Linked DNA regions of Tamandua tetradactyla. The main gene of each other region encodes a partner of the protein of the gene in region 3 in a complex. Links are inferred from orthologs where the notes say so. Each region holds a gene or a part of one and is shown on either strand. Other genes may lie near its edges. The genes, in order: SF3A1, HTATSF1, SF3B5 and RBMX2.

Region 1 (7,939 bases), on a different chromosome or scaffold from region 3:
AAATGTTGAGACTCTATTGGAATATCCATATTAAGTGACCCAAAAATTCCTAATACTTTCCCAACTAGCTTCCTTTTCGTAAATAAAGGGTCAAGTCCCTCATCTTAGAAAAATAAGTTTCTCCCCTCCCTTTGTGTTCATTTCTGCTACTAGCTTTCCCCTGCCCTTCCTCTGGTAGCTAAACATCCTGAGTTCTCTCAGTCTTGCCATTCCTACTTCCTGACCTCCCATTTGGTCCCCATCCATTTCACATGCTCTTACCAAAGTCAAAAACAACTGCCTTCAACCAAAAATAACAGTTATCTGGGCATTTGACCAGTGATCACTCCTTTGCAAAGCTCTCCACTCAACTCCCAGACCCCATTTTTTCCCATCTTTCCTTTTTACTTTCTGACCATCTGTGCTGGTTTGAATTTTTTGTGTACCCCAGAAAAGCCAGGTCCTTTAATTCTCATTCAGTATCACTGGGTGGGCTTTTTGATTATCCATGGAGATGTGACCCACCCAATTGTGGGTGGTAACTTTTGATTAGATGGTTTCCATGGAGTTGTGTCACCACTTATTCAGGGTTGTTTACCGGATCCTTTTAAGAGGGAACCATTTTGGAAAAAGTGTAAGAGCCACAGAGCCCACGCAGCCAGAAACCTTTGGCAGTGAAAAAGGAAAACACCCCCCGGGAGAGTTTCTTGAAACATGAAGCAGGAAAAGAAAGCTAACTGACTTTGCCACGTGTCCTTCCAGCTGAGATAGAAACCCCGAACTTCATCAGCCTTCTTTGAGTGAAGGTAACCTCTTGTTGGTGCCTTAATCTGGACATCTTCATAGCCTTGCCTTAATCTGACATTTCCACAGCCTTAGAACTGTAAACTAGCAGCTTAATAAATTCCCCTTTTAAAAAGCCGTTCTGTTTCTGGTATATCACATTCCAGCAGCTTGCAAACTAGAACACCCATCCTATCCAAGTTTCCTTCCTGGCTCCTGTTTCACCTCCCGCCCTCTAAATTTTGAAGACTCCAAATTTTGTTCTTGGTTCTCTTCATGGAATTCCTGCTGTCGTCAGCAAACCACATCTTCTATTTCCCCTATCACACCTAGGCTGAACAATCCCCCCAAAGCAATCTCCTAGCCCAGATCGCAGTTACATGCCACAGAGCTTTCAATCCAACTGACTCCTAAGCACTTTCATCACTGGACCCTTTCCTTTTGAATGGCCTGGCCAGACACTTGGGCTTTCTCTCCCTTTGTCAGCCTCCTCATCTAATCCCTAAGGATAACAACGGCTAACATTTATTAGGCACAAAAATAGGTCCCCAATGCTTAAGTATTTTAAATACATTAACTCTTGTAACCTTTATAAGCAGCCTATGAGGGAGGCGTTCTTATACTTCCCATTTACAGGTGACCAAACTGAGGCATGGAAAGCTTAATTGGCCCAAATGGCAGAGCCAGAATTTGGAAAGAGTACTCTGTGACAAGGGATTGCCCGTCCCCCTTCCTCAAAATCTAAGCCAAGTCTTCAGCAGTTAAAAAAAAAGGACTGTCTTCTGTCATCTTAGCAATTCTCCACACCAATATCTGAATTTCTAAAACACAAATTTGTCACTATCCTGCTTAAAACCCTTCCTATTCACCCCTTGTCTACAAGAAAAAAGGTCAAATCCTCTGAATACCATCTCCTACCACCACCTTCCTCTTTCCCATCCTATGCTCCAACAAAACTTAGATTTACTCTTGACCAGAGGCATCATCTGCTTCCTACCTCACTTCCAAAGTGCCTCTGTGCTTATCGTTATCAGATATTATCTTGTTTATTCTTTCCCAGTGCCTGGGAAAATGCCTGGGACATAGAGGCACTTAATTATTTATGCCAAAGGCATAGACTTCTTCTGTTGTGTTTCAGTTGTATTCTGAACTGAAAGCAGTGGTCAGCATATAGTACGTGTGCAACAACTGTTTGCTGAATGAATGAAAAATTGTATTTCCCTTTCCCAATCATCTACACAGTGAATTCTTATGTATCCTTCTAAAAGCAACTTATTTCACACTCCTATGAACTTTCACTACTTTAACCTCCCCATCAAAGCAATGTCGATTAAATAACCTTCTCATACCGGCCACATACTTCCATTACCCAGTATATCACTCCACGCTACAATTATTTACACACAACTTTCCCCCTCAGCTGATCGAGAGCCTTTTAAAGTTCGGCCTGAACCGTATCATTTTCGAGATGGGGACAAATATCTGTTGAGTATTCATGCCTGTCTGCCTCCATTAGTCGGTGAGTTTTCTAAGGCAGCGGTTGTGCTTCTTTCATTCCAGCAACTTTGGAGGTTGGCATGACGGCTGGCTTAGAATAAACACCAAGGAGATGCTGAGAATTAACACTCAAATGTGGACTATGCAGGCTGGAAACTCAGAAATTACTGGGCAAAGCTAGGGGCAGAAAACCGGGACAGGGGTTGGGTCAGTGTTTCTCAAACTTTAATGTGCATATGAATCACCTTGGAACCTAGTTAAAATACAGATTCTTATTCAGAAGGTCTGGGGAGGGGCCGGAGATTCGGCATTTCTAACAAGCTCCCAGGTGATGAGGCCGATAGTCCGCGGGCCACACTTTGACAATGACCGTTCAGAAGAGGCCTCTTCGCTACCAGAAGGCAGCGCGGCGCAGGAAGCGCGCTGCCTCCTGGGACTTGCAGTCCCTCCAAGCCCTCCACAGCGGCAGCTTCTTCCTGCATGAGTGAGGAGAACCCGCGCTGGAGGGGAGGGTCCAGGCCTAGGCTCGGGTTGTCGATCGAGGTGCGGGGGGCGCGGTACCTGTTTGGGCTCGGCGGCCACGGGCGGCGGAGGAGGCACCGCCTGCACGGGTCCGGCCGGCATGACTGCGACGCTGAGGGCTGCCAGTCCGCCTCGATGTCGATGAACAGTGTGGCGTCAAAACAGAATCCCCGCACGGACGGGACGACGAGCTAGCAAGATGGCGGCGGCCGAGCAGGTCGTCTCCGAGGAGGCAAGGCTGACGCACTTCCTGACACGCCCACCAGGTTCCGGTCCCATCCCCTCGGGCCGAGCTCGCGCGCTACGCCGTTGCCATGGCAGCAGTCCGGGTGCCAGGCTAGGGGTTGCTGCGCATCCAGGGAAGCCGCAGGCGCGCCGGGGGCAGTTCCATGAGCCGGCCAGACACAGGCTGAGGCTGCGACTTCCGAGAGGGGTGAGATATTCTACAGCACCCCGCTGGATGTCCCCGGCACTCACCCCGGGGCCCTGGTCCCCCTCCTTTAGTCTCAGGCCAGTTTCCTTCTCCCTAGACCCCGCCTCCCAAGGCCCCTTCCCATTGACCTCTCACTTTGGAGAGTCCCCTCCCTTACGCTCAGGCACTTCTCAGAGTCCCATTTCCCTTAACCACCTCATTCGCTTCAAGTCCGTCTCCTCCAGCTCCTCCCAACCCTATTCCAAGTCCCCCACACCCTTAATTCCCACGGGCCTGTCTTTTCTGGGTTCAATCCTCTTCCTTCCATAGCCCCACCCTCAGGCCCCACTGGACCGTCTCTTGGTTGCGTTAGACACCCCCCCCCCGCCCCCATCACAACTACTGGTGCGTCCCTGCATACCCCGCCCCTCACTCCCTTGTGGCACACTCAAATCCCGCCCTCCCGGCTTCCTTCTCAAGTGCCCTCATCCCTGTCCCCTTTCCCCTCCCTCCTAGCTCCAGAGCGTGGGGAGGGGTTGCCAAGCCAGTGCTTGAGCTTCACTTTTTCCACCTATTGATAGAAAGCGGTGCTCTCCCACACCTGCTTCCTCTTGAACGCGCGCGCGCGCGCGCGCACACACACACACACACACACACACACACACACACACACACTCGGCTTGTGTCGTCGATGTAGAATGATAACGGTAGTTAGGACTTATTGAGCATTTACCCTGAGCCAGAACCTGTTGGAAACACTCCGTGCATTGTATCATTTATTCTTCAGAGCAACCTGTTCACAGATGAGGTCAGTGAAGTTCAGAGTTGGCAGAATGGAGCTCCAAACCCAGGCCCTTCTGGTAGTGCAGTTAGCTATTCAGTTTTCATCACAAGTTCCTTTCCGTGTCTCCAGGGATCCAGGCAATTAGAATCCCTGGGTCTGAGATGGATTAACTGCCATTTAGATGGTTTTTGGGTTTCCAAGGTTTATTTTTTTAATTTTTTTTATTTTGCAAAATGACATAATACAAAAAAGCAATACATTTCAAAGCATACCTCAACAATTAGTTGCATTTTTAAAAATATTTTTATTGAGATGTCTTCACACATGCACAGTTCATCCAAAGTATACAATCAGTGGATCACAATATCATCACGTATTGTTACTCATCACCATAATTTTTAGAACATTTGCATCACTCCAGAAGAAGAAATAAAAAGAAAAAACTCATACATCCCATAAGCTTTACTCCTCCCTTTCATCGACCACTGAGATTTCAATCTACTCAATTTTTTTTTTACCCATTATCCACCCCATGTTATTTATATATATTTTTTACTCATCTGTCCATATCCAAAGTGTTTTCAAGGTGGTGATCTTGAATCTTAGTGTGCCTACTGGACCAGGAGGGAGGCATAATCTTTACCACTGGGGGTAGGCTAAGAGGGAACAGCTCCTACTGTTCTCTGGTAGGCAAAAGCCAACCTTGAACCCGAGGAGAGACAGAGTCAGCTGCTCTGCCTACCTAGTGGCAGTGCTGACTCCATAAGCGTCCATCCTCTGTGCCATCACATGGACAGTGCATGGTTGGCAGTTTGGGGCTGAAAGTTATACTCCAGGCCCAGGTAGAGAGAAAGACCGTGTCAAATGCTCCCTCACTTGACACACACCTAAGTGATTCTCAAACCAGTCTTATATTTGCATAGCCCCAGTTTTCAGAAGAAACCATATAATTACCTTGTATATTTTTCAATGTTAGATTTTCCTCTTGTATATTCTTCTTGATGCTTTGCATCTACTGATGCTGCTTCTCTGAACTGAAATCTAATGGAAGTTGGTATTGCAATTGGCCCCGGATGGCAGCTGAAGTTATTTGAAGGTGGAACAAAATGGTGTCTTCCATGAGGAAGCTCCATGAGTCCAGGTGCTTGGCACCTGAATACGCCTCCATCTAGATTGGGACCTTCTGCTTGCTTCATTTATCTCTTTCCTCCTACATCCCAGGAAGGAAACATAGAACGTTTCAGTCTGTTTTTTTTTTCTTTCTTTCCTGTTTGTTCCTTATACTTCACTCCTTGGGGGACATGAAATCTTATGGGCAACAGTATCTCACAAGAGGCTGTCGCCAAGTCAGCACTCCAGTACCACTGTGTGTGGGGTGTAGGCCGGTGCTATAGGAGAGTATGTTCATGTGTGCTATGGGGTGGATATGCATTTCCCTTCCTTGGTGATGGAGCCTATGGAGCTCATAGACCCAAGACTTGCTACAGCAGGACCCTCAGACAGAGATGGTATCTCTTTGAGGCCAAAGCTCCATGTACCTGCTTCATCCCTAGTTTCCAGCATGTAGTAGGTACTCAGGCAATGCTTGCTGAATGAATATGAATCTCATATACACTTGCAGTGTCCAATATGTTAGCTGCTGACCTGTGTGGCTATGGGAAATTTGAAATGGTTGCTGGCTTGAATTGAGATATGCTGTCAGTGAGACAGTACAAAAAAAGAATGTGAATTATCTCCTTAATAATTTTTTATTGATTTCATGTTGAAATGATAATGCTTTATTGGTTATTAAGTTAACTAGAATGCACCATCAAAATTAACTTACCTGTTTTCTTTTTATTTTTTTAATGTGGCTAGTAGAAAATTTAAAACCCCGCCTATATAAGAGATTTTAAATAGAGTTGAGAAGTCGTTCTGGAGGTTACTCTTATACAAGCTTCAGCCAGATGTTATAAATTTCCATGGTGTCCCAAGACCCAACCAAGAGTATTCCTGAAAACCGTAAAGAAAACCCAAGATTCTATCTATGACTCTATAAAAGTTTTACTTATTAAATTTATTTTTCAGAAACATAAAACCTCCCAATTGTTCCTGTGCCTGAAACCTAGAGGTACCAGCCTCTCCCGGAATATCAACCATTTGCATCCCCTACCCCATAAGGTTCGACATCCCTTTTCAACATGAAGAAGTTAGAATGATCTTTGCCAAAATATCCCTGAAAATCAGGGGAATGATCAAATGAGAGGGAGGAGTTAATAACAGAGAATTGAGATTTAACAAAGGATTGTGATTACTAAATCATTATATAGAGATTTCTTTGTAGTTTCTAGTGTATTAGAACAGCCAGAAGGAAATACTTGAAATTGTGGAACTGGAACCACTTGAAATTTGTTCTATAACTTGTACTTAGAAGTTTATTACTTTTCTGTATATTTGTTATGTTTCATAGTAAAAAATGTTTTAAAAAAGTTCACCCATAGCTCACATTATATTTCTTTCGATAGTGCTGCTCTAGAAGCTGCATGGACTAAGAACAGAGATACTGGACTCAGAATCCCAGCTTCCTGAGTGACCTTGGGCTAGCCCCATAACTTCCTGGGGCCTCAGCCTCCTCATTTGTGAAGGAGCCAATAACCCCGCCTTCTTTTGCTTGTTGTAAGCATTCAGGGATTGGCACGGAGTAGGCCCTTCAGTCAAAGCTCACCTGGCTGAAGCATGTCCTCTGTGCTCAGCCTCAAGACAAGGGTCTCCCATCACCCCATTCTTCTAGCCTGGAACACCCTCCCCTTCACCTTCTGGACAGCCTGCTCCTGGCCCCCAGGAAGCCCTCCCTGACTGCCCTCTCACTCTCCATTCCCAGGAACTAAACAGCTGCTTCAGTCCGGTTTCTGCATTGGAGAAAGGAAGCTGGCACTCCAATGAACCTCTGGTGCTGAGCCCCGGAGCCCACAGACCAGCCCAAGGGTTGGAAAATTCAGACACTCCAGTTCTAGCCCTGCAGCAGGCACCTGTGCAGAGGTGAGGGCAGGGCCCCATGCTCTGGGAGGTCAGAGATGCCAGCTCAGCCCTTATAAACCACCCCAGGAGCCATGAAGCTTCCCAGCACCTACCAGCCAAGCAGCTGGGTCATATACTACAGTGAACTCAGAAGACATGGTCCATGTACTTGCAGAGGAGACAGACCAACCACCACAAATAACTCCTCAAATAATGATTTAGTTCCACAGGTGATATGTCCTGGAAAGGAAAAGAAAGGGATGATCTGAGAATTGTAACAGAAGACCTGACCTATCTGGGGTACTAGGGGAGCTTGCCTAAGAAGGAGATACTGGGTCGAGCTCCGAGGGATGTTTCTAAAGACTAAGCCTGAGGATGGAGCACACTCTGGGTGGTGAGGTGCTGGGTGGGGGCAGACCACACCGGGCTGAGAGGCCATAGAAACCTGTAAGCCAGGGGATGACTGGCTGTGAGGTGCCTTTTTTTTTTTTTTTTTTTTTTTTTTTTTTTTTTTTTTAAAGGAAAGACAGAGAAGGAAGGAAGGATAGAAGGAAGGAAGGAAGGAAGAAAGGGAAACATTTTTAAACATTTTCTTGTATTCTGTTTCTCCGTTTTTGTTACATGGGCTGGGGCCGGGAATCGAACCGAGGTCCTCCGGCATAGCAGGCAAGCACTTTGCCCGCTGAGCCACCGCGGCCCGCCCTGAGGTGCCTTTTTAAATAATCCATTCAGCTGCTTAATCAGAGTGCATGGGGATTGTGAGGGGAAGAGGTGCAGGTGGCACCTCAGGGAGGCTGCATTAGAGTTCATGGAGAGGAATGGGTGGTTCTCCATGTAGCCTGGACACAGAAACAGCAGCACTTGGTGCTTGGACATGGGAGTGATGGAAAGGGATTTCACGGAAGTGCTGGACTTAGGGTTGAGCCACAGTGTACCCAGTGGTGGTACCATTTTCTGAGAAAAGG
Region 2 (7,691 bases), on a different chromosome or scaffold from region 3:
AAGGATTTTTCCAGAATACAGGAGGCTAGAAGGAATAAATATATTTTTTTATCATGACAATCAAACTTTTTTTCTGTTTTGTGAAAAATAACATAAATACAAAAAAGTAATAAAATTCAAAGTACACTGCCACATTAGCTGTAGAACATATTTCAGAGTTTGGTATGGGTTACAATTCCAAAATTTGAGGTTTTTACTTCTAGCTGCTCTAACATAATGGTGACTAAAAGTCATATCAATTTAATAATTCAGCAATCATATTCATTTAGAAAATCCTAACTTCTCTGTGTAACTCCACCATCAACTTTCATCTTTCTATTCCTCTCTTTAGGAGTATATTTGGGCTACGGCCCTTCTAACTTTTTCATGTTGGAAGGGGCTGGATCATGACGCTATCTTAAAAAAAACAACACTTCTTATTATTCCTTCAAAGCTACCACAAATTCTCCCAAAAATTAACTATATATACATGTACATTTTTACTTTGAAACTCATGTTTTTTTGCAAACTAGAAACACTTGCCTGAATCAGCCTTTCTTTTTTCTCCCCTCTTTTTGGGATCAGTGGGTTCAGGGGCCTTTTTTTGTGAAGGTTCCTCTGCAGTCCTAGCACTCATATCTTGTACAGTTGCAGTAGAGCTAGAGGCGCCATTATTAGAGAAGCCATAATTGGCCTGATATGTTGCAATGAAATCTTCAGTAATCTGAACAAGAGATTCAGCACATACACATAAGAAATGCAAAATTACTTCCTCCCACACAAAGTCTAAACTATATTAAATCACAGCATATTCAGTTATACAAATTAACATAGAAGTGTTTCTGTGACACTTAAAGTATAAATGCAAAATTTGTCATCTTATATAGGGAAACTGCATAAACTGAAAAAAAATAAGGCACAGGCCCTTGGATAGCAAAAACAAGCATGTGAGAAAACATTAAGATACTTTTAAGTGAAGTTAATACCTTTAATATTGTTTCATTTATAAATTAGAACATCTACTTAAACAAAGCTACAAGTACATATAATGAAGTACCAGATAACAATAGGATAAAAATCGAGAGACAACTAATAATCTAACCATAAAATCAATTTATGTTACTATAAAGATGCACAAATACATGTATATTCTAAGTATTTAAATATTTGTATGCAGAAAGCACGTAGACTGGAATCCTGATTCAATGAATAGAAATAAAACTAACAATTGCAAAACTATATGCTCACTTTAACTCTATCACTAATTAAATCACATTATCATTTAGCGGCAGAATAAATTAAGGACAAACCCAACTCACATCTATGTACCGTGCCTTTAGGGGATATAAAAACACAATGAAAGAATTGTACTTGTATCTTCATACCAGTCAATGTTAGGCACACAAAGGAATAGGGAAAATTTAAACTCAAAGTTTGAAAAGATACAGGCTTTCATAGCATAAAATACCAAAGATAGAGTTACAAATTAATTCATTATCAGATTACTGTTAAAAGTACTACTCAGAGCAGTGCAACAGTGGCTCAGTGGCAGAATTCTTGCCTGCCATGCCAGAGACCCGGGTTCGATTCCCGGTACCTGCCTACGCATTTAAAAAAAAGTACTTCTCAGAAGGCTGAAAAAACCACATCTGCACTCCAGCCAGCACTATCAGTATAGAAGTGAAAAAGTAATTTAACAGTTGGTAAAAATCGGTACATATACACAAATACAAAATGGAAAAGAAAAAAAATTTAAATAAATTTTATTAAATAAGTCAAATTACACAATGGAGACATGTTTTTTATTATTGGCTTGCCAGAGTGCTATTTCTATTTTTTTTTTCCTACCCATGAGACTCAGGTTAACATAGTACTTTCACCGCCATGCTTACAGAATCAAGCTGAAGACTAGTATTTTTCTTCCAAGCTTAAATAAAACACCTAATAATTTCCAAGTATTCCAAACACATATAGACAGATCTTTGCCATCCATATTCTGTGCATCTCTTGTCACAGTTCTGCAGTTACATGCATCAGAGAGTCCAAACCTAGGGGCCAAATTTAGTAGAAAAGAGCGGTGCAGACAGTCCAATCAATAAAGATACATAAACGGCTATCTTTTTCCTTAAATCAAGAATTGCATTTTGCGCATGGTACATAAACTAAAAATGTGAATTCCCAGGATAAGTGAGGGTAGCAACGAGAGATGAACAGCTACTGTATCTGTTCTTGGTATTTTTCCTCTTTGCAATAAAAAGCAGTCACGGATGTAGTAACCAACTGTGACCTCCACCGATAAAATTAGTAAGGCAGAGAAGAGATTTAATTACATTTAAGACATTTCCCTAAAGATTACGTTCCTCTACACATCGGTTCTGCAATAGACAACAACAAAACGAAACGTCACTATCCACGGGGGCTAAAACCAAAGTTCTCACTCAGTAAAGAAAATGTAAAAGAAGTGCCCCGTAAGGCTGGCCAGGCGGGCCCACTCTGCAGTGGCGCCGGTGCCACTTTATTACCTTGGGGAACCAAGCCTTCTTGTCCAAATCCCACTCGTAGGGGGTGTCGGCCGGCTGCTGCTCGCAAGCCTCAGTTTCTTCGCCAGGATCTTCTTGGTTACTGCCGTCCTTGCTGTCCCCGTACAATTCTTGCATTCGCAACTGCTCATCAAACTCGTCGTTCCCATCCAAGTTGTTGCCGCTCATGTTTCCTACCTAGCCCAGCGGCAGGGTCCAAGCGAGTGAAGAGGCCGCGAAGCGAGATGACGCTGGAGGCTAGTAGAGAAAGAGAGGTCCGCCCCGGTGGCCCGCGCACGGCCGCCCCACCCCGCCCCCGGCGCCCAGCAGCCCCCGGGAGACGGGTGCCCCCTAGGTGGCCGCGCCGCCCCCAGCTCTGCCCGGCCTCCAGCCCGCGCGCGCTGATGCTCCCAGCTCGGTCACGCCGCCGCCCACCTGGTTCACTCCGCCGGGCCTCGGCGCCGCGGCTCTGTCCAGGGCGCGGCGGAAGCGCGCGCGCGCCACCGCCGCCGCCGCTGCCGCCACGGAGCGGGTCTGAGGCGACCGCGGCTCCCGCGGCAACGTCAGGAAATTGCTTCAAAACGGGGCCCCGCTCAGCCTGACGCAGTCGCCATTGTGGGCGCGTCGCGACGTCGCGGTTCGCGCCGACACGCCCCCAGGCGGCGTCCACATGCGCCGACGCGCAGGCGTGCGGGCACGGCGTGGGGTCTTGGGCGCGGGGGGGCGGGGCGCCAGGGAGTGCGCTGCGCCCGCGCGTGGACGCCCACTGGGCCCGCCTCTGGGCCGGGGGTGGCCGCGCGGCTCCCGCAAGACCTCGGAATCTCAGCCGGCTGCCGGGTGGGTCGGCTCGCGTGGTTCCCAGAAGGCGTGGGAATATTCCTCCTAGGCGGGCGCCATCTTGGAGAAGTGGGCGGGGCGGGCAGGACCGGCTACTTTCGCAGTGGGAAAAAATCGTAACCCTTTCGCCCAGAGGCCTTTCCCTCCCACCTAGTCGTGTCTTTTATTTATTTATTATTTCCCCAGCCTAGGCGCCTGCTCTTGTCATCTTGGTATTCCAGGCGCCTAGCGCCAGGGTATTGGTGCCTAATCCATGTCGAGTGAGTGAATGAACGAATGAACGATGGGTGGAAGGACCAACCTCCTTTCCACTTCTCAGTCACCTCCTTTATCTGATCTTACCTTTTTCCTGCTGGAGATAAACTCTGGGAAACTGAGGCGGGGCTGCAGTTGCTTGTATCTTGTTCTCCAGGATTCAGGAGTGCTCAGGGCCAAAACATGAAACTTGAACGAACATCCAAGCGTCAGTATCAGCTTTAGTAGCCAACTGTAATTTTGGCTTTCTTTTAGAAAGACGCAGTACGCTTTGCTCTAAACAACCTTTTTTCCCCCTGAAAATGGTGAGCCCATCTTAAGTGGTGCAAATACGAATTTTTAATTGGGCAAATAGTTACTGAACTCGTACGAGGCGCCAGGCACCTGACTCGCCCCTGGGGACCCAGGGGTTAACAGGACGGGCACTGCTTAGGGAAGACAGGCTTATGTTGGTTGGTAAATGTTATCTTGAAAGTACCAGACGCTGGAGAACAGCGTTTCTCAAAATTTTCATCTCAGAACCCCTTTACACTAAAAAACTATTGAGGACCCCAGAGAGATTTTGTTTATGTGGATTGTATTTGTCAATGTTTGCTGAAAACATTTTTTAAATATCTATTGATTCATTTAAAAATAATAATAAACCCATTGTGTGTAAGCATAAATATAACCCAGACTTGAGGGTGAGGAAAGTCTTCCCAGAAGAAATTATTTCTAGTATTCCACTGACCTTTGCTTCTAAACATAACAGCTGAGTGTGGATTCTAGAAAATCCTGCATCCCTGCATATAACAGTCGTGTGAATCTATGGTTTCAACCATAGCAAAGTTTTAAACTAGCAGTTTGATTTTTTCAATTATATTTCTTTTTCATAAAATTCCTGTTTGCATACATTTTTATTATATAGATAACACGAGGTTTGTTAGACTCATTTAAACATTGCTAAATATTTCTTCCTGGATTCAAAAATAGTATACAGCTGTTTTCAGCAATGTGTTATTGGGCTCCCATTTCATTCCTGAGTTTAATGGTAGGTGCTGATATTGTGCATAGCTCTACTGCACGTGAAGCTCTGAGTGCGTGCTGTGCCCACAGCCCCGTTCTCAGCAGGTAGCCAAAAAGGTTCCATATGCCTAGTTCCCATGTAACCCAGCTGCCATAGCCCAAGGGCTGGCTAGGGGCCTGTGAGTTCATCTAGCTGGGTAGCTCTGCATTCTAGGCTATATTTGACTGAGCCAATACGGTTCTCTCTCAGGGAGTTTGAGCATGAAACATACGGAGAGGGATGTTGTCAGGGTAGCACAGAAGCTGAGATACCCACAGGGAAGGCTGAAATGAGTACAGGAGGCCTGCTGTTCAGAATTTCCCCTAGAAGTGAGAGGAAAAGTCAAAGCAACAACAGAGGGTCACTGAGACCCCATAGTAACAGGGCAGTGGGGTTGGGAACTAAGTACACTTGTACCTGCAATGACGTTCTGTATGGCAATGAGAACTGACAGTTGCATTTCTAACGTTAGCATTTTGTGGCGTGGTTCCTGTTTGTTCTTATTTCCCTGTGTATTGTAGAATAACTCCCTAGTAAGTGATGTAATCTGTCTTTGCAACCTTTCTTTCTCAACATTTTTCTCCAAGTCTGAGAAGTATTCAAGGTTAACAAGCAAAAGGCGAGGTGGGGAGGGGGGCGGCTGAGAGGGGAGCTGAAACTCAAAGACTGGAATGTAGATTGGCCTCTTCAAGGGGCTACTGGACCCAGGAAGAGGAACAAATTGAAACCCAGACAGTCTGCTTTTCTCTGAATATCTGCTTTCTTCTTTTTTCTCTAAGTTTTCAAGGGTGATTTGTGTGGTACTCCAGTCCTGTAGGCTACAGCCTTCTTGGTGGATAAAAAAATGCATTAATCTACAAAAGCAGAGACGGCTGGTTGAAAAAATCACCTATCTGGCCTAGGAACTGTCTCTGGGAAATTACTGAACTTACCAAACTAGACTTTTTTTTTTAGTGGTGCTGTTAAGCCCATTCTGTTCAGGAATTTTTCTGTCCCCACTTCCTGTAATCCCAAAATTTAGTGGAAATGAAAGTAACTCCTTCTGAAACAAAAAATTTGGAGGACCCTTGACCTAAAATGGTTAAAACTGCACAAAGTATTTAAACCTAAATTTGCTATTCTCAGCATGTATGTCAGTGGTAAATGTTTTGCAATGCTTTCAAGTTCAATGTTAGGGACTGGCTCACTGAACGAATTGATTATACCTAACTTTGTGACCTTGTTTTCATGCTTTGTAGTGTATTATTATGTTCCATTATTCAAAGCCTTGGGTCAGGGAAGACCTTGAGCAAAACTGAGAAGCACATTAAATTTGTTTCTCATGAAGCCCACGTCTTCTCCATTTAGGACCTTCTCCAGGGAAATGGTGCCACAATAGGCAATGTAAAAGAAATTTTGTAGATTGGAGCCTGTTTGCAAGGTTAGCCCTGACAAGGATAATCTGTTAAAAACAAGAACAACAACAAAAACCCAACCAACCCCATTCCCCCAAAATCGACAAAACAAAACCATGAATTTTAAATGCGACCCCCCAACTTTGGATGGGAAGCTGATGCCCTATAAAATCACTTAGGGAATTATTTTAAATCAGATCCCTAAGTCACTTAGGGAACACTGAGAATGAAGAAAGTTCTTTGAGCTCCATTTTTATCAGCTGCTAAAAGGTTGTCTTGGCTTTTGTAATCTGGTATTATCAAGCTTTTATTTCTAAAATGTCACACCTAGGGGAATGAAGATGTACACTTTTACTCTGAGTGAGGAAAATAATGAATATATTTTTGCATACTGTGACTCGAATATAATTTGAATTTTGAAACTAAAATGGGTGGTCAGTTATATTCTTTCAGAAGTATTGTTTTTAGAATAGAAAGTTACAGAAAGTCATTCAAAACTTTATTTCATATTTATTTTGTCCCTCTCCCCCCACTTATTACAGTGTCCATTTTGAAACAATAATAATACAATATAGGCACCTCCACTTTAAGTAAACCAGTTTTACAGAAATTTAAAGTCTAGTGTTAATATATATCCCCCTTTTGAGCCACAGGATTAACGAAAGTTCACAGTTACACAAGCCATTTAAAACGCAAAACTACCAAAAGCACGCCCAACAATCAAGTTTTTAAAAATACAGTATTAACAATTATACCAAGTGTATGCTTTAATTTGCCCCAACAAAACACTTTCTGAAAGTAACACAAATCTAAGTCTGACATGTCTGTTGACAATAGTTGTTTGAAATAATCATTAAGAAGCTTATAGTGTTAGCAAGTAGGAGCTAAGGATAGAAAATCAGAACCTTCCATCTGATTTCCAAGGGCAGATTAGGCCATACTCCTACGGGACTTAGGCACACATTGGGTTAATAGAGTTGAGCAGGAAGATGATATGATAACGACTGCACACCTAGGTATTAGGTATTTCATGTGGCACTTCTGCATTTTTTAAGAAAGAGGGCACTGCTTGCCAGAGAGAAATGAATTCTCATAAAGGACGTTCAGACACTGGGGCAGGCTTGAAGATTTTTAGATGGGGGTACTTCTCAAGGGCCCTCAAATTCCACCGTGTACGTGGTCACTTATTCTGACTGTGAATAAGGCAAGTTCTTCACAATGTTTGTGAAAAAATAACTTTGCCTCATTATCAATCACTGGCAGTTGTAAGTAGGACTGCATTGAGTTAGTAAGTGTTGCCCATTAAAGCAAGAACTCCACCCCGGATTCTTAGTACTTTATACTTGCCGACCCCCAAGTATTTTCATTTTAATCGCACAAATTTAGTTATAGTAAAATAGAGATGAATAGTCATTCTGTAAAGATCTTTTCTTTTTAGCAAAGTATAATCTCTAGATTCGCACTACATAATAAACACAAACACAATTGTAGGCAAATCACATGAGTATATGAGAAATTAGAAGCATCACAGAGGTGGTGGAAATAAATTCGATTTTTAATCTTCATCTCATTTATTCCGTTCACCGTCCCTCCTATTTGATCTCCCTCACAACCCACTAGCACATACCAACGTGTCTTTCTAGACGTAATGTGTCTTCATTT
Region 3 (5,716 bases):
CCCTCTCATCTTCCAATATTTGCTTATGTCTATAGTTTATCTGGTCCCCCACCCCCTAACCCCAATATCTCAATCCCACCAGTATGACGGAAGCCCCAAGAGCCTGGGGAAAATGCGACATAGACCTCAACACATATTTGGTGAACGTGGAGTGAAGAACGAACTTGTATGGCAGCTTGTCAGTCCTGAAAGCATAGCCACAAAGTCCCACGAGAATGAGGGGTGGCGCTGGACAGCGAGCAGAGAGGGCAACCACAGCAAAGACTTTCAACAGGGGAGGGAAATGCCTTAAGGCATTGTGGGCCTGATCAGAAGGAAAAAAAGGCTTGGGAAAATTCGGGATGGGGGAATATGGTAAAGCTGGGGCCGGAAGGATTTAAGCGTCAGGCAGGGAAGGCTGGCCCCGCGACGCCGGCCGTCTCCTGTTGGGACGCCCAAAGAAACGTCAGCCCCCAAGCCTTCCCAGGACCGCTCCGCTCGAACACAAGGATTCCACACCAAGAAACAGAACAATTTCTAAACTTTATGGTGAAAAGCAAGACGACAATCGACCAGTCACAAAACGAACTTCCAAATCGCAGCCGCCTTGCATCACGCTGGCCGGCTCTAGGCTCTCCCCACGGCCCCAGTGCTCAGGGGTCCCGCCGGCCCCGGAGCGGTGCTCCGAAGGGTCCCCAGGACGGCGGGGCGTGAGGGACGTCCCCGGAAGGCGCCAGTGCGCAAGGGGGGCGTGCGCGGCGGCCCCGGAGGCGGCGGCCCGGCGGGGCTCAGTTCTCCTCGGGCTTGTCGGCCGGCGGCCCGCACGGCTGCAGCATCTTCTCCATCAAGTTGAAGCGGACTCGCGCCTTGCTCTCGTTCTCGGCGATGGCGAAGTAGTTGAGCAGGTCGAAGTGGCCCATGTAGGAGCAGTACGAGTCCCGGTGCTGGTTCACCAGCCACTCCCACTTGGTGGTGTCGGCGTGGCCCGTGCCGATGTACTTGGACTGCAGGTGCTCCAGCTGGCTGTGGATGGTGTAGCGGTCCGTCATGTCGCCGTCTTCCCTCTGCTCCGGGCCAGGGACTGCGGACGAGCAGCAGCGGCCGCTCCGAAGCTTCGCGCCGGGTGGAAGTCGGCTGGGAGCTCGTCGGCGCGCACAGTCGCAAGGCGATGGCGTCACGGCGCCGCCGCCGCCGCGTGGCCTGCCGGCCACAGGTCTCCGAGGCGGAAGCGGAAGCGTGTTCCGGCACCAAATTGGGGTTGCCTAGGCCACGAAGCCACCGCCCCGCCCCTCTCGGGACAGCCCCGCCCCCCGTCGCGTGGCATGATGGGCTTCGTGGCGGCCTGAGGGTGCCTGCATCCGGGGACTCGCGAGCGCCGCGGGCCTGCGCGCGCAGACGCCTGGGGAAGGCCGGGCCCGGGTCGCCTCGGAACCTTAATGGCGGGCGGTGCCTGCCGGGCGGGGAGCCACCTCGTGGGCCGGGGCCGTGGGCCCGGGGAACGGGAGGCGCAAGACGAGGGGCCACAGGCGGCCGGGAGAGGGGCCTCGCGCTGCCGGCCTGCTCGCCGAGCCGCCGCGGCCCCTCCCCGCCACGTCGGGCCTCCTCCCCGCGCTCGCGGCCCGCCCCCGCCGCCCAGCGCGCAGCCCGCCCGGGACGCGCCGTTCCCGCGCCCGGAACGCCCTGGTCCCCTTGGCACGCGCCCCCGCCCTTAGCTCAGCGCGAAAGCATCTGGAAGCCCGCCCTGCCCGCTCCAGACAGCTGCGGCGGCCCCGGCCTCCTCGCGCGAGCGGCTCCTCCTTCCCGCCGCTTCGCCGCCCGGTGTGGGTTTGGGGAAGTTCCCCGGTCGGGCCTGCGCGCCTGCGGCCTCCGCGCGCCCCGGACCTTCGGGTCGGAGGGACAGCCGGACCGCCGCTGAAGAGGGCGGGTTGTAGAGACCTTTAGGGCATTCGTGTTCTGCCTGTTAGGCCGGTAAACATTCCGTTCCTGCGGGCAGAGATTCAAGCCCTATAAATGTCCCCCCGGGTCGCCCCTTTCTGCACGGCGGAGCCTTTGCACGGTGGGGGTCCCCCTTCACGTACCGCAGTGATAGACTTGGCTTCGCTTCGTCAGCAGATTATTGTGATGATCTTTCTGGGAAGTTGGCAGTAATAGGTTAAATCAAGCCTTACAATACCTGTGGGTTTGCAGAGTTATCAAACCTTGTCATTCCCCCCTCCCCCCGACTTTGTTTTTTCTTTGTTAGATACAAATAAACTTGCAATTCTCCGTGTTTCCCCTCCCTAGTATGCTCGCCTCACCACGCTATCGGGGACTTAGAGTTCACCATCCCTCAGCCTGTCTCGTTTGCTGAAAGTGTGTCCACGAGCAATGGGTGGTGCCGTCAGGCAGGTTTTAAGGTTTCGTGTAAGTGGCACGTTGTATGTGCTGTAAATGTTGCTTTAGTCACGCCTCAGTATCCTTTGGATACAATGTATACCTTTAGTTCATTTATACCGTTGTGCAGTATGCCCACTCTGAAGAACGGACATTATTTCCAGATTTTCGTTGTTAGAGACAAAACTGCGATGAATGTTCTCATGGAGACTCATACCTCTTGGGCCTGCACGTGAGGTTAGCCCTGCTGGGACGCAGGCGTGAGTGTTGGCAAGCTCTGCTGGATCCTGCCGAGGTGCTCTCCAGAGTGCGTCTACCGTGCGCGGAATGAGAATCCCTGTCCCTTCACATTCTTCGGACATGTGGTGTCCTGAGACTTTGGGTGGGGTGCGGGTACATGGTCGGTGAATCGAATCCAGGTCTCCTGCATGAAAGACGAGCATTCTACCACTGAACAACCCGTGCGCCCCTGAGACGTTTTAAATTTGCAAATCTGATGCGTAGAATGGAATTCGTTGTGGCTTTCATTAGCATGTCCCTGATTACAAGGAAGACTGGGCATCTCCATACATGTTTACTGTATCCACGTGGATTTCTGCTTCTGTGAACTGCATGTTCATTTCCTTTCCTTTGCCCACTTTCCTATCGGATGATGGTATTTTTCTTACTAATTATTAGGAGATCTTTAAATAACCAGAATATCAGGCTTGCAAGTTATGGGTGACGAAAGTATGTGGTCCTTTATGGTGTCCTTTTTTTTTTTTTTTTACATGGTTACGCAACAGGAATCGAACCCGGGTCCCTGGCATAGCAAGTGAGAACGCTTCCTGCTGAGCCATCGCGGCCTGCCCACTATGGTGTCTTTTTTTACAGAAAATGTAAAGAAATTTTTGTTATATAGAAGTTCTTAAATTTAGTCAGATTTATCAGTCTTCCTTTATGGTTTGGGCTTTTTGTATTTGGTTTAAACCAAATTAAGGAAAACTCTTTTCTGCACTGGGACCATTGAAATAGTCTCTATTTTCTTCTAAAAATTTTAAAATTCTGCGTTTTCATATTTAAGATGAGTCCACCTGGAGATTTGACTTATTTTAAGGATCGAATTTTTAATTTTTCCCCCTATGGGTAGCCAGTCCCTGTAATAACTAATGATTCACTAAACAGTTCACCTGTTCTCTGATCATCTTTAATGCTTCTTTTATATATGTGTGGGTTTGTGCCAGGGCATTCTGGTCCATTGGCACAGGTGGAGGGTCTTGCTATTTTGTAAGATAAGGCAATAAAAGATATTTTGTATCAGGTAATAAAATAGGGGCCAAGCCCTCACAGTTTTCTTCTTTCATAAATGTCTTGGTTAGTCTTTTATATATATATATATAATTTTTTATTGTGAAATATAACATATATGCAAAAGCAATAAATTCCCCAGTACATTTTAACAAGTAGTTTTAGAACGAATTTCAAAGTTTGGTATGGGTTACAGTTCTACCATTTCAGGTATTTCCGTCTAGCTACTCTAAGACACTGGAGACTAAAAAATATCAGTATAATGATTTAGTAGTAATACTCATTTGTTAAATTCTAGGTTCCCTATTGCAACTCCTCCTTCTTCTTTGATCTGGCTCCCATTCTTTAGGAATATTTGGGCAATGACCATTCTAACTTCTCCATGCTGAAAAGGGATGTCGACATTATGGGTAGGGGATACAACTGGTTGATGCTGTTGGAAAGACTAATAACTCCGGGTTTCAGGGCTTATCTGGCTTGGAACCATCTGGAGGTTTCAGATTTCTGAAAAATAAACTTAGTAAGTGAAGCTTTATAGAGTCTTGGAGCCCTGGGTATTTTTTTTTTTTTTTTTTTGAGAATTAAAATTTTATTTCTTTGTAAATTTATCAACAGTGGTTTTAACAGTGCTTGTCTTCTCATCATATAACTTACGATGTGGAGCTACCCTCTTTTCTATGACATGGCAAATTGTAATTCTCCTAAGTTTAGATGAGCATGCAAAATTTTATCCTTTGCACTTTCAATGTCATGAAATGTCTTTAAGAGTTCCTTTCCTATGAAGTTTCTTGCCAGAATCACTTCCTCTGAGACATCTTTATCCTTTTAATCACAACCACTTTCTTCATTTATGTCTACAAGTCACCTTCATGAAGTTCCTCTGGTTGCACATCTAAAGTCTCTTGAGCAGCAGCAGTGTCGACATTCCCACAGTCGGCTGTACCTTCTGTAACTCCATTTCCATTCCATTTGAATCCTGTAAAAGTTTCCTACAGTACTACCCTGCACCACTGCGCAAAACAAGGATTAACTGTAACACTTGGGATCTGAGGCTGAATTTCACCACAGCATCTTTATCTGAACCCACAGCTTCGCCAGATAGCTTAATATTCATCAGTTTAGGCTGACTTCTGAAATGATGAAACCAGCCTTTTCTGACAGTAAAATGTCCTTTTCGGTCTCCTTGTAAAAAACATTTTCTTTCAATGTAGCAACTACCTTCAACGTTTTGGCCTGAATGCTAGTCAAACTGATTGGGATTTGTTTTTCACTACAGTCTTCCATCCAGAGTTGAAGTAAACCCTCCATTTCACCATGAGAGACTTGCTGTTCCTATGTGCAGTTTATGCCAGAAGATGTTAAAGTTACTTTACCTTGTTTTTCTGCATTCACTGGGTTTTTTCAATCTGGTTCATACTGTAGCTTCCTGCAGGGCTGGGTGTCTTCCTATCTTGGCTTTGCTGTCACCACTTTCAAATATTCTGATCACATACAATTTCACTTCCAGCATCATCACTTTGCATTTCTTCATTGCCCCATCATCTTTTCACCTTGACCAATTCCCTCTTTCTGTCATCCATTTTTGTAAAATGTCACTAAGCTTATCACTGGGAGACAACAAGGCTGTGCGTCTGCACACTTTGTTGCTTGTACGTGAATTGGGTAACAGATGCCCAGTGACCAAAGCAGACTGAAGAAATTATGTGATTTGTCATCGATCATGATGCACATTTGTTATTTGCGTAATGATTTATAGACAGAAGAGCACAAAGTCTTTGCGTAATGCAGCTGTTCATAGCACTGTGGTAACTGAAATTTTGACTGCATTTTTGGCAGCCTGGTGTCATCTAACTTAACTGTAGCGCCAGATGTTCACGCATATTGGAACTATGCAAAGCAAGGACTACCTTATTAAATAAATCTTCAAATTTCTGGTTAGATAAATCTCACAAACGATAGTTTTCTAAGAAAAACATCCTTCAGTTTTATTCCTCTCCAGCATATTTTAAGTAATTCACAAGACCCAGGTATCTTTTTCCAGCATCTCCAAGAATAAAATTCCTTCATAGGAATCTTT
Region 4 (7,451 bases), on a different chromosome or scaffold from region 3:
GCATACACACTGGCTGATCACCACTCAATTCAAGATGAAAGTCTGATGTACTACCACACAAAGAGGTAGAAATTATAGGCTGCACCTGCCATGAACTTCCCGAAGCCCCAAAGCTGAAGAAAGCAGCCTCAGTCCTAGCCAGGGCTCTCTGCCTATGTAGGCTGCCCAGGCCCCCTGGCATGGTCTTTATCTCATGTGCACTGCCCAATCCTTTCCCATGGCCTTCTGCCCTATATTGCCACCCAATGATCTGGCCAAAGCCTGCTGCCCCATAAGTTGCCCAACTGCTCTGCCATGGACCTCTGCCTAAGGGACAGCCCAACTGTCCTGATACGGCAATTCCTCCACCAGGTTATGCTGCCTGTGTTTGCTTGCTCAGCCCCTTTTGCCAAGGTCCTCCGTCATGTCGTCCAACCTCTCTGCAAAGGCTCTTAGCCCCAGAGGGCTACACAATCCACAGGCCGTGGGTCTCTGCTTCTGTGAGCTGCAAAGGCTCTCTGGCCCTGTGGACTGTCTAACCACTCTCTTTAGCTCTGGGTTTGTGTGTGAGCTGCCCAACCCTTTCATACTCACTGACACTACTAGTGTGAGCTGCACACACCCTCTCCCACAGTTGCTGCTGCTACCATCTCATAGCAAAATGAAGAATATAAGGTTCTCCTATTCATTCTTTCTCTCATCAGCCTGTGGGTAAAGAGATCAGCTTTGTTCCTTAACCCTACACTCGTCTAGAAACAAAGAAAGCAAACCACCATCTAAACCTTTCACATTTTCCCCCAATTCCTCCATGCTTTGCTCCTAATCCTACAATGCCACACGAGTGTGGGCCCGGAAGGGCCCTGTGATCATGGATTATCCCCAATTTACAGGATGCCAAGGAGATGGGTCCAACATGGTATCTTCCTGGCAGTTCCAGTCTATTCCAGTGTAGGCCCAGGCTGAACACACCTCAGTGAAAAAGCGATAGAAATTTACTGTAATTCCCCAAGATAGCCCCCCAAATTATTCAACCACTAACATCATCTACAGGGGAGAATCCTAAAATCAAATGTCCTGGGACTGCTCTAGACTAGAGCAAAAGCCCTAGTGCTCCCCACTAAAATTCAAATAAATGGCTTTTGTGATGCCATAAAATGTATTATGGAAGCAAACTACTCTGTCCACCCAGGAAGCAAAAAATTTAAGGGAACTTACTGTGAGAACACACAGATGATGTCTCCTTCAGTCAGTTCATAAGGAAGTCCTCCTAGAAGAGGAAACCACATTTCAGTTCAACAGACATTTCTCAAATGTGTACTACAGACCCTGCACTAGGTCAGACATTAAGGGTGTAAAGAAGTGCTTTGAAATTTATAGCTTTTTTATATACATGTTATTTTTTACAAAAAAAAAGAAGGAAAAAAAAGTCAATTGTGATGATAAAAAAAAAATATTTAAGCCCTCTAGCCTCCTGTATTCTGGAGCAGCTAGAAGGAAAAATATGAGAGGATCATATGGTAGTCCATGACAAACTCTGGGATCTGTCCTGTAACTACTTGTTGAAGAGTGCTTTGAAAACTATTGCTTTTTTATTTCTTTGCTTTGTATATGTGTTATACTATACAATAAAAAAGTTAAAAATAATAAAAAAAAAAAGGGTGTAAAGAAGAGTGAGCCACAGGCTCTGCCTTCGAAGAACTCACGGTCTGATACAATGACAGAGGTATACTTAAGGTGCAGAAGTAGTACAGAAAATAGAGTGATTAGCTCTGTGTGCAAAGACCAGGGTCATCATTAACCAAGCTAAACTGATCACTCAGTCCTCCTCACACGCAAAATCGTAGACAAAGCAGATAGTTTACAGCACAAAACTCTGCTTCCACAAACATATCTTGGATTCATCTGCTCTTTACCCACAAATTTATAGCTAAAATCTATAATCCAGTCAATGTTAATATTAATCCCACCCACACAGACTAAGGATTAGAAAAACAACCGTCAACCATTTCATAGGAAACAAATTTCACTTCAAATGTTGCTTTCTTTATCTGTGAAATGGGGATATTAGTACTTACCTCATGAACTTGTTATAAGAATTAAATAAAACAATGCACATAGAGTGCTTAGCACAATCCCTGGTGCAATAAATAATCTCTCTGAACAAAGTACAGAATTATCGGTTACAACACAAGTGAATATAAGGGATGGCAATACGGCCATGGACAGAAGGCAGCAGCTAATCAGATGAGTAGAATAAAATCTAAGGAGTGGGGTTAGTAGTAATATAGGATAGTAGCTAAGTTTAAGACTTTTGAGTTTCAGAATTCCATAGTTTCGATTTACTAGCTATGTTGTTTAAAATTTTTCGGTTAACTTCTTTGCGCCTCAGTTTCAACAGTATATGGGGGGGTGGGGGGATCTCAAGAAGTCCCGTACAAGGTTTTTAGCACAGAGAACAGATAACAGGAATAGTAACTCCCGTGAGTATCGAGGAAAAAAAGGTATGGAAAACGGGTTTAAGGGTGGATAGCAGATGGATAAAAGCGGGTGATGGATGTGGAGAGGAGCAGAGCGAAGGCGTTAGGAAACCGGCCAGAAGCTGAGGAACACAGGGGAGAAGGATGTGGCCCGTACCTAGGAAGATCCATGCGCTGTCCTTGTACTCGGAGTGCCAGGACACGTTATCCGCCACCCCAAGCTGGACCTCCCGCTCATTCAGTTCGTTGATTAACTTCACCTTGGTTAAGGCGCTGCGGGGGGGGCGGGGGGGGGGAGTGCGGAAAAGGAGACAAGTAAGTGCGGCCCAGCCTAAGGGAAGGCAAAACTAGGGCACTAGACTCTCCAGTTACCACGCCTCTCCCTCTCCTTGGAACCGCAGACGCTCGACCGCCCCAGCCCTCGAAGGCCACCCACGGAAGTCCGATCCCGCTTCCTCAGAAGGAAGGTACCGCCTTACTTCATCTCCGCGGCTCGGAGCTTACAACCTGGGCGTTAGCGTCCGGGCGAAGCTGCAAGGCGCATGCGCAGTCCCGGCGCCGCAGCCCATTGGAGTCGGCGGAGCGTGCGGCGGAAGAGGGCGCGCCGACGTGCAGCGCCTGCGCACAAGCGTGGAAAAGGTTTCCTTCGCTCGGTGTCCCTGTCTCTTCTAGTAAGAGAAAAGAAAGTTTTTTCTAGTCCCTCCTCCTTCCCTCAGTGAAATGAGACAAGGGTGTGAGTCTGGTCTATTACAGGGTCCCCAGCTCCTGGATCATACCTCGCACTGGTTGGGTTGGTCTTAAATGTTTACTGAATGAAGAAGATGCCTGATGTGGCGACTTTTGTCCCACTCCAGGTTCGCCTTCCGAGGTCCCGCTCGGGTCCTCACTCCCAGGAGTCACACCCACATACTCATCATGTTTAGAAGTTATGGCACAAAAATGTAGGATATATGTGAGTGAGTAAATCTTTTGTCGTCCCTCAAATCCCAATACATAAGCAACCGACTGTGCTAAATTGAATATCCCAAATTTGTGAGAGCTGCTACGCTCATCCTTTTCCATGGCCTCTTCTACTTAAGCCAAATTAATAGCTAACATTTGAGCAGATAATGTGATAACCAATGCCAGGTTATGTGCTAAGCAATTAACATGTATTGTCTGTCAATTCTCACAACAACCCCATGAAGTAGATACAATTACCATCTCCATTTTATAGATGAAGAAACCGAGGTTCAAAGGAATTAGCTTGAAAGAGACTCCGACTCTGCCCATCCGGTCAGGTTGACTTAATCAGTCCTTGCCTATCACCTTTATCTGTCCTGTACAACTAGAACCTGTAGCTAGGAGTTATGAGGCTAGCCCTATTGCCCCCAAGGAGCTAATAATGTAATTGAGGTGATAAGATATATTTGCCTAATAGAGGTCATTCCAGAAATATCTAGGACCCAGTAGAAGGGATGGTGGTATATAAACCATGAAGGTTTGAATCCATCTTGCATGTCTCCAAATCAGTGACTGGTCTTGAACCATGATGTTTTAAAAGTGAAGATCCAGAGCTATGTAGTTTTCTGTGTAAGCCTAGCTCTGAGCCACAGAAATTAGGCCCTTTATAAAAACATTTTATCGATGATGATGATTTTGAGAACTCTACCCTCAAGTGGTTCACCATGTACACATTTACTGCCAAGCAACAGAACAGAGGCTGCCTACTTATGATAGTGTCTACTCATTCATTCTGTGTCTATCTCCACTCAGCTATTCATTAACTTTGTAGGATTACCTTGGCAATGAAAACTAAACAATGACAGATTGCATGTGGGTTTTATCTGCTCCTGGAAATCTCAGGTTGCTTAGTTGTAGTGTTGAAGTAGCCGCTGCAAAGTGGTAAGCTAGCATGCAGCATTATCTGGTTGGCTTCTTAAAGTAACTATGAATTGAGAATGCTGGGGGTACACCTGGGGCTCACTCATCCACATTTAAAAAGAAGCTGGAACCCAAGAGTAGGGTTGAGACCAACCAAAGGGAAGAACAATTAAGATTGAGGAGAACATAAGAAGACTGTTGCTCTTGAGGTGGTGGATTCAGCAGTGTGTTCTGAAGCTGGGAGAGCTGATAACCATCCTGGTTTGCCCAGGAGTGAGGACTTTCAGTGGTAAAATTTGAAAATCCAGAGCACATTGGGAGGGTTGATCACCCGAGGAGAGCCTGAAATAGGTAAAAAAGCCGTGTTAGATTCTCCATGGATATGCTTCCAGTTAGTAGAAAATATTGTAAAATAATGCCTGGAGATTTCCATAAGTCAGAGATAAAAGGGGGCAGAGGTCCAGAGGAGGACACAAGGAGGACCAGGGTTTGCCATCCAAGGTTGCGATTGGTGATCTCCACCAATAACATTCATGTAACACCTATTGTATGCAGAGCTCAGATCTAGGTTTGGCAGGCAATGCTAAGAAAGCAAAAGGCAGGACTAAACAAATGCAAGGAAGGACTAAACAATTTGGCTAGCCAAAGTTATCTCTCCACTTCCCCAAATCACACCACACTCAGAAGCAGCTTTTCCTCCTGACTTCCATAGTTTGGGCAACACTAACATCATTTTTATCAAAACCATGGGTGTCACGTTTCAGCATTCACTTTTTCTCACCCCGAGAAAACCATCCAATTATTCACCAAGTCCTAAAAATTGTACCACTGCAGTATCTATAAAATGCATCATTTCCAGTTATCATCTTACTCGAAGTCATTATCACATACCTCCTAGCTCTTTATTTTTAGCTATCAAAATCTGCATTTTACTAAAAATAATATCTTAAAAAATGTTTACTTATACACTAATAAAGTATCAGTGTCTGAGAGAGTTCAAATAAAGTTAAGAGGCTACTCTGGAAGTTAGACATTGTTACCTATTATTTAGACCTTGCTACCTATCATAACTTCCCAACCAAAACCATTCCCAGCCAATCCTAAAGAACACCTAGGGCAATATATAAGATTCTACAAAGGTTGCATGCACTAGGGTAACTTTCCAGAACCCTACAACCTCCAGATTGGTCCCTGGACAAGATAAGTCCTGAAACCTAGAGGGCCCAGCCTCTCCAGAACAACAGCTAGTTCCATCTCCCTACCCCATATTATTGACAGCCCCTTCCAACATGAAAAAGTTAGAATAGGCAAAGCCCAAATACCCCTAAAGAGTGGGATAGAAAGATCAAAGGTGATAGTGGAGAAGGTAGGGTTTAACAAACAAATTTGATCGCTGAATCATTCTATTGATATTTCCTTTAGTCTCCAATATCTTAGAGCAGCAAAAAATAAAAACCTAAAATTGTGGAATTGTAACCCATACCAAACTCTGAAATGTGTTCTACATCTAATTGTTGTGTTGTGCTTTGAAATTTATTGCTTTTTTGTATATAAGTTATTTTTTACAAAAAACAAGTCAATTGTGATGATAAAAAAAAATATGTATTCCTTCTAGCCTCCTATATTCTGGAGCAGCTAAAAAGAAAAATCTGAGAGGATGGCATGATAGCCCATGACAAACTCTTGGATCTGTCCTCTAACTACCTGTTGAAAAGTGCTTTGAAAACTATTGCTTTTTTTCTTTTTTTGCTTTGTATATATGTCGTATTATACAATAAAAAAAGTTTAAAAAATGTTTTTCTCATACAATATATGCAATACATGCTGTTTTCCATCCATTTGAGTTCTTCAGCTGGCATCAAACTCTTAGTCTCTGCCATCTCTGAACAGAGGCAGTTGCAGTCTCTGAAATCTCAAAGATCTTCACAGTCTCATCCCAGTCCTGGTAAATCAAAGCTATAATTCCTTGATTCCTAATCTGGGTGTTTTGGTCAATTCCCTCACTTTCTTCATTAATATTAACAGGCTCTATTATTGGGGCAGTCAGTCTTGGTTAAGTCTTATCTTGCAAAACCATCCCTTAGAATGAAAGCAATATGAAAGATGTTTTCTGCTGTACAGGAAATGAATGTGGATCAACCACAAAGTCAAAGAATGCCATAGTTGTATCAGGATCTTCTCAAAAATAGGTTTGCAAAAATCCCAAGATTCTTTCCACTTCTTTATTCTATGCTTCTTGATGAGATTGGTGTATCAGGATCTTCTCGAAAATAGGTTTGCAACAATCTCAAGATTCTTTCCACTTCTTTTTCTGTTGCTTCTTGATGAGATTTTTCCATTCTTTTTAACTGGGCTGGCAATGCTCTCTTTCTCTTCTATCATGCAAACTTTCTTTGGATAATAGATGTTTGCCTTTGGTACAGGTAGCTCTCCTTGTTTTGAACCCAACAGAAAGTGGAATATACAGGTTTTATTAAAGGTGTTTTCTGCTGTTTTGCCTGATATTTTCTAGGAGTCATAGACTATGAGTTCAAAATCAGAACTATCTTCATCACGGATGAGTTCTTCAGCTTCTAGCAGATTTACACCCATTTGTGCCAATGGAGTTCAGCATATCTTAACATATCAAAGGAATTGAGATCAGAGCGCAGCTACGTTGCTTTCTCTTTTCCCAAATCTGAAGCCAAAAGAAGAAGCATCTGGAACTGCTTCTCTTGCACAGGATACTCCATTAAACAGAGTGTTGGCCTCTTCAAGGACCTCTGTTAGTTTGTCACTGGCATTTTTTTTTTTTTTGGATGGAGTTGATGAGCATCTGGTACTGATAGCAGATCTGGCAGCACAGGCCATGGTCAGTCTGTACCTCCAAGCTGGCTGGGTCCACCCTTTCATCCCCCAAATCCAACAGTTCTGCTTTCTCCAAACTCAGGCACTCCTGGGCCTTCCTGCGCTCCAGCACCACACTACAGCAGGACCTGGTAACAGCAACAAGCAGCAAGTAGCTGTAGGAGTGGCTGCAATCCCTGTGCAGGTCCAGCCCAGTCCTTGGCCCCTCCGAGCTCTTTAAATACTCTTATACTCCCCCCAGCTCCTATTCTCCAGTCCTTTCTCTCTCTGCTCCCACGCCAGGCT

Evidence for each region.
Region 1: SF3B5 (region 3) and SF3A1 share a complex: the UniProt entries of both Homo sapiens proteins name them as parts of the 17S U2 SnRNP complex. The link is inferred for Tamandua tetradactyla from reciprocal best matches to the Homo sapiens genes SF3B5 and SF3A1.
Region 2: SF3B5 (region 3) and HTATSF1 share a complex: the UniProt entries of both Homo sapiens proteins name them as parts of the 17S U2 SnRNP complex. The link is inferred for Tamandua tetradactyla from reciprocal best matches to the Homo sapiens genes SF3B5 and HTATSF1.
Region 4: SF3B5 (region 3) and RBMX2 share a complex: the UniProt entries of both Homo sapiens proteins name them as parts of the minor spliceosome. The link is inferred for Tamandua tetradactyla from reciprocal best matches to the Homo sapiens genes SF3B5 and RBMX2.

Annotation. Positions count from the first base shown.
Region 1 is NC_135331.1:32,555,017-32,562,955, reverse strand, and holds the start of SF3A1 (splicing factor 3A subunit 1), read right to left. Parts: upstream 3,025-7,939; 5' UTR 2,884-3,024; coding exon 2,821-2,883; exon of another isoform or gene 2,729-2,820; intron 1-2,728. UniProt on the Homo sapiens protein: Component of the 17S U2 SnRNP complex of the spliceosome, a large ribonucleoprotein complex that removes introns from transcribed pre-mRNAs.
Region 2 is NC_135353.1:22,881,501-22,889,191, forward strand, and holds the start of HTATSF1 (17S U2 SnRNP complex component HTATSF1), read right to left. Parts: upstream 3,005-7,691; 5' UTR 2,934-3,004; intron 2,757-2,933; 5' UTR 2,688-2,756; coding exon 2,502-2,687; intron 704-2,501; coding exon 523-703; intron 1-522. UniProt on the Homo sapiens protein: Component of the 17S U2 SnRNP complex of the spliceosome, a large ribonucleoprotein complex that removes introns from transcribed pre-mRNAs.
Region 3 is NC_135351.1:43,423,189-43,428,904, forward strand, and holds SF3B5 (splicing factor 3B subunit 5), read right to left. Parts: upstream 1,166-5,716; 5' UTR 1,029-1,165; coding exon 768-1,028; 3' UTR 504-767; downstream 1-503. UniProt on the Homo sapiens protein: Component of the 17S U2 SnRNP complex of the spliceosome, a large ribonucleoprotein complex that removes introns from transcribed pre-mRNAs.
Region 4 is NC_135353.1:33,109,259-33,116,709, forward strand, and holds the start of RBMX2 (RNA-binding motif protein, X-linked 2), read right to left. Parts: upstream 3,014-7,451; 5' UTR 2,941-3,013; coding exon 2,936-2,940; intron 2,730-2,935; coding exon 2,614-2,729; intron 1,247-2,613; coding exon 1,195-1,246; intron 1-1,194. UniProt on the Homo sapiens protein: Involved in pre-mRNA splicing as component of the activated spliceosome. As a component of the minor spliceosome, involved in the splicing of U12-type introns in pre-mRNAs.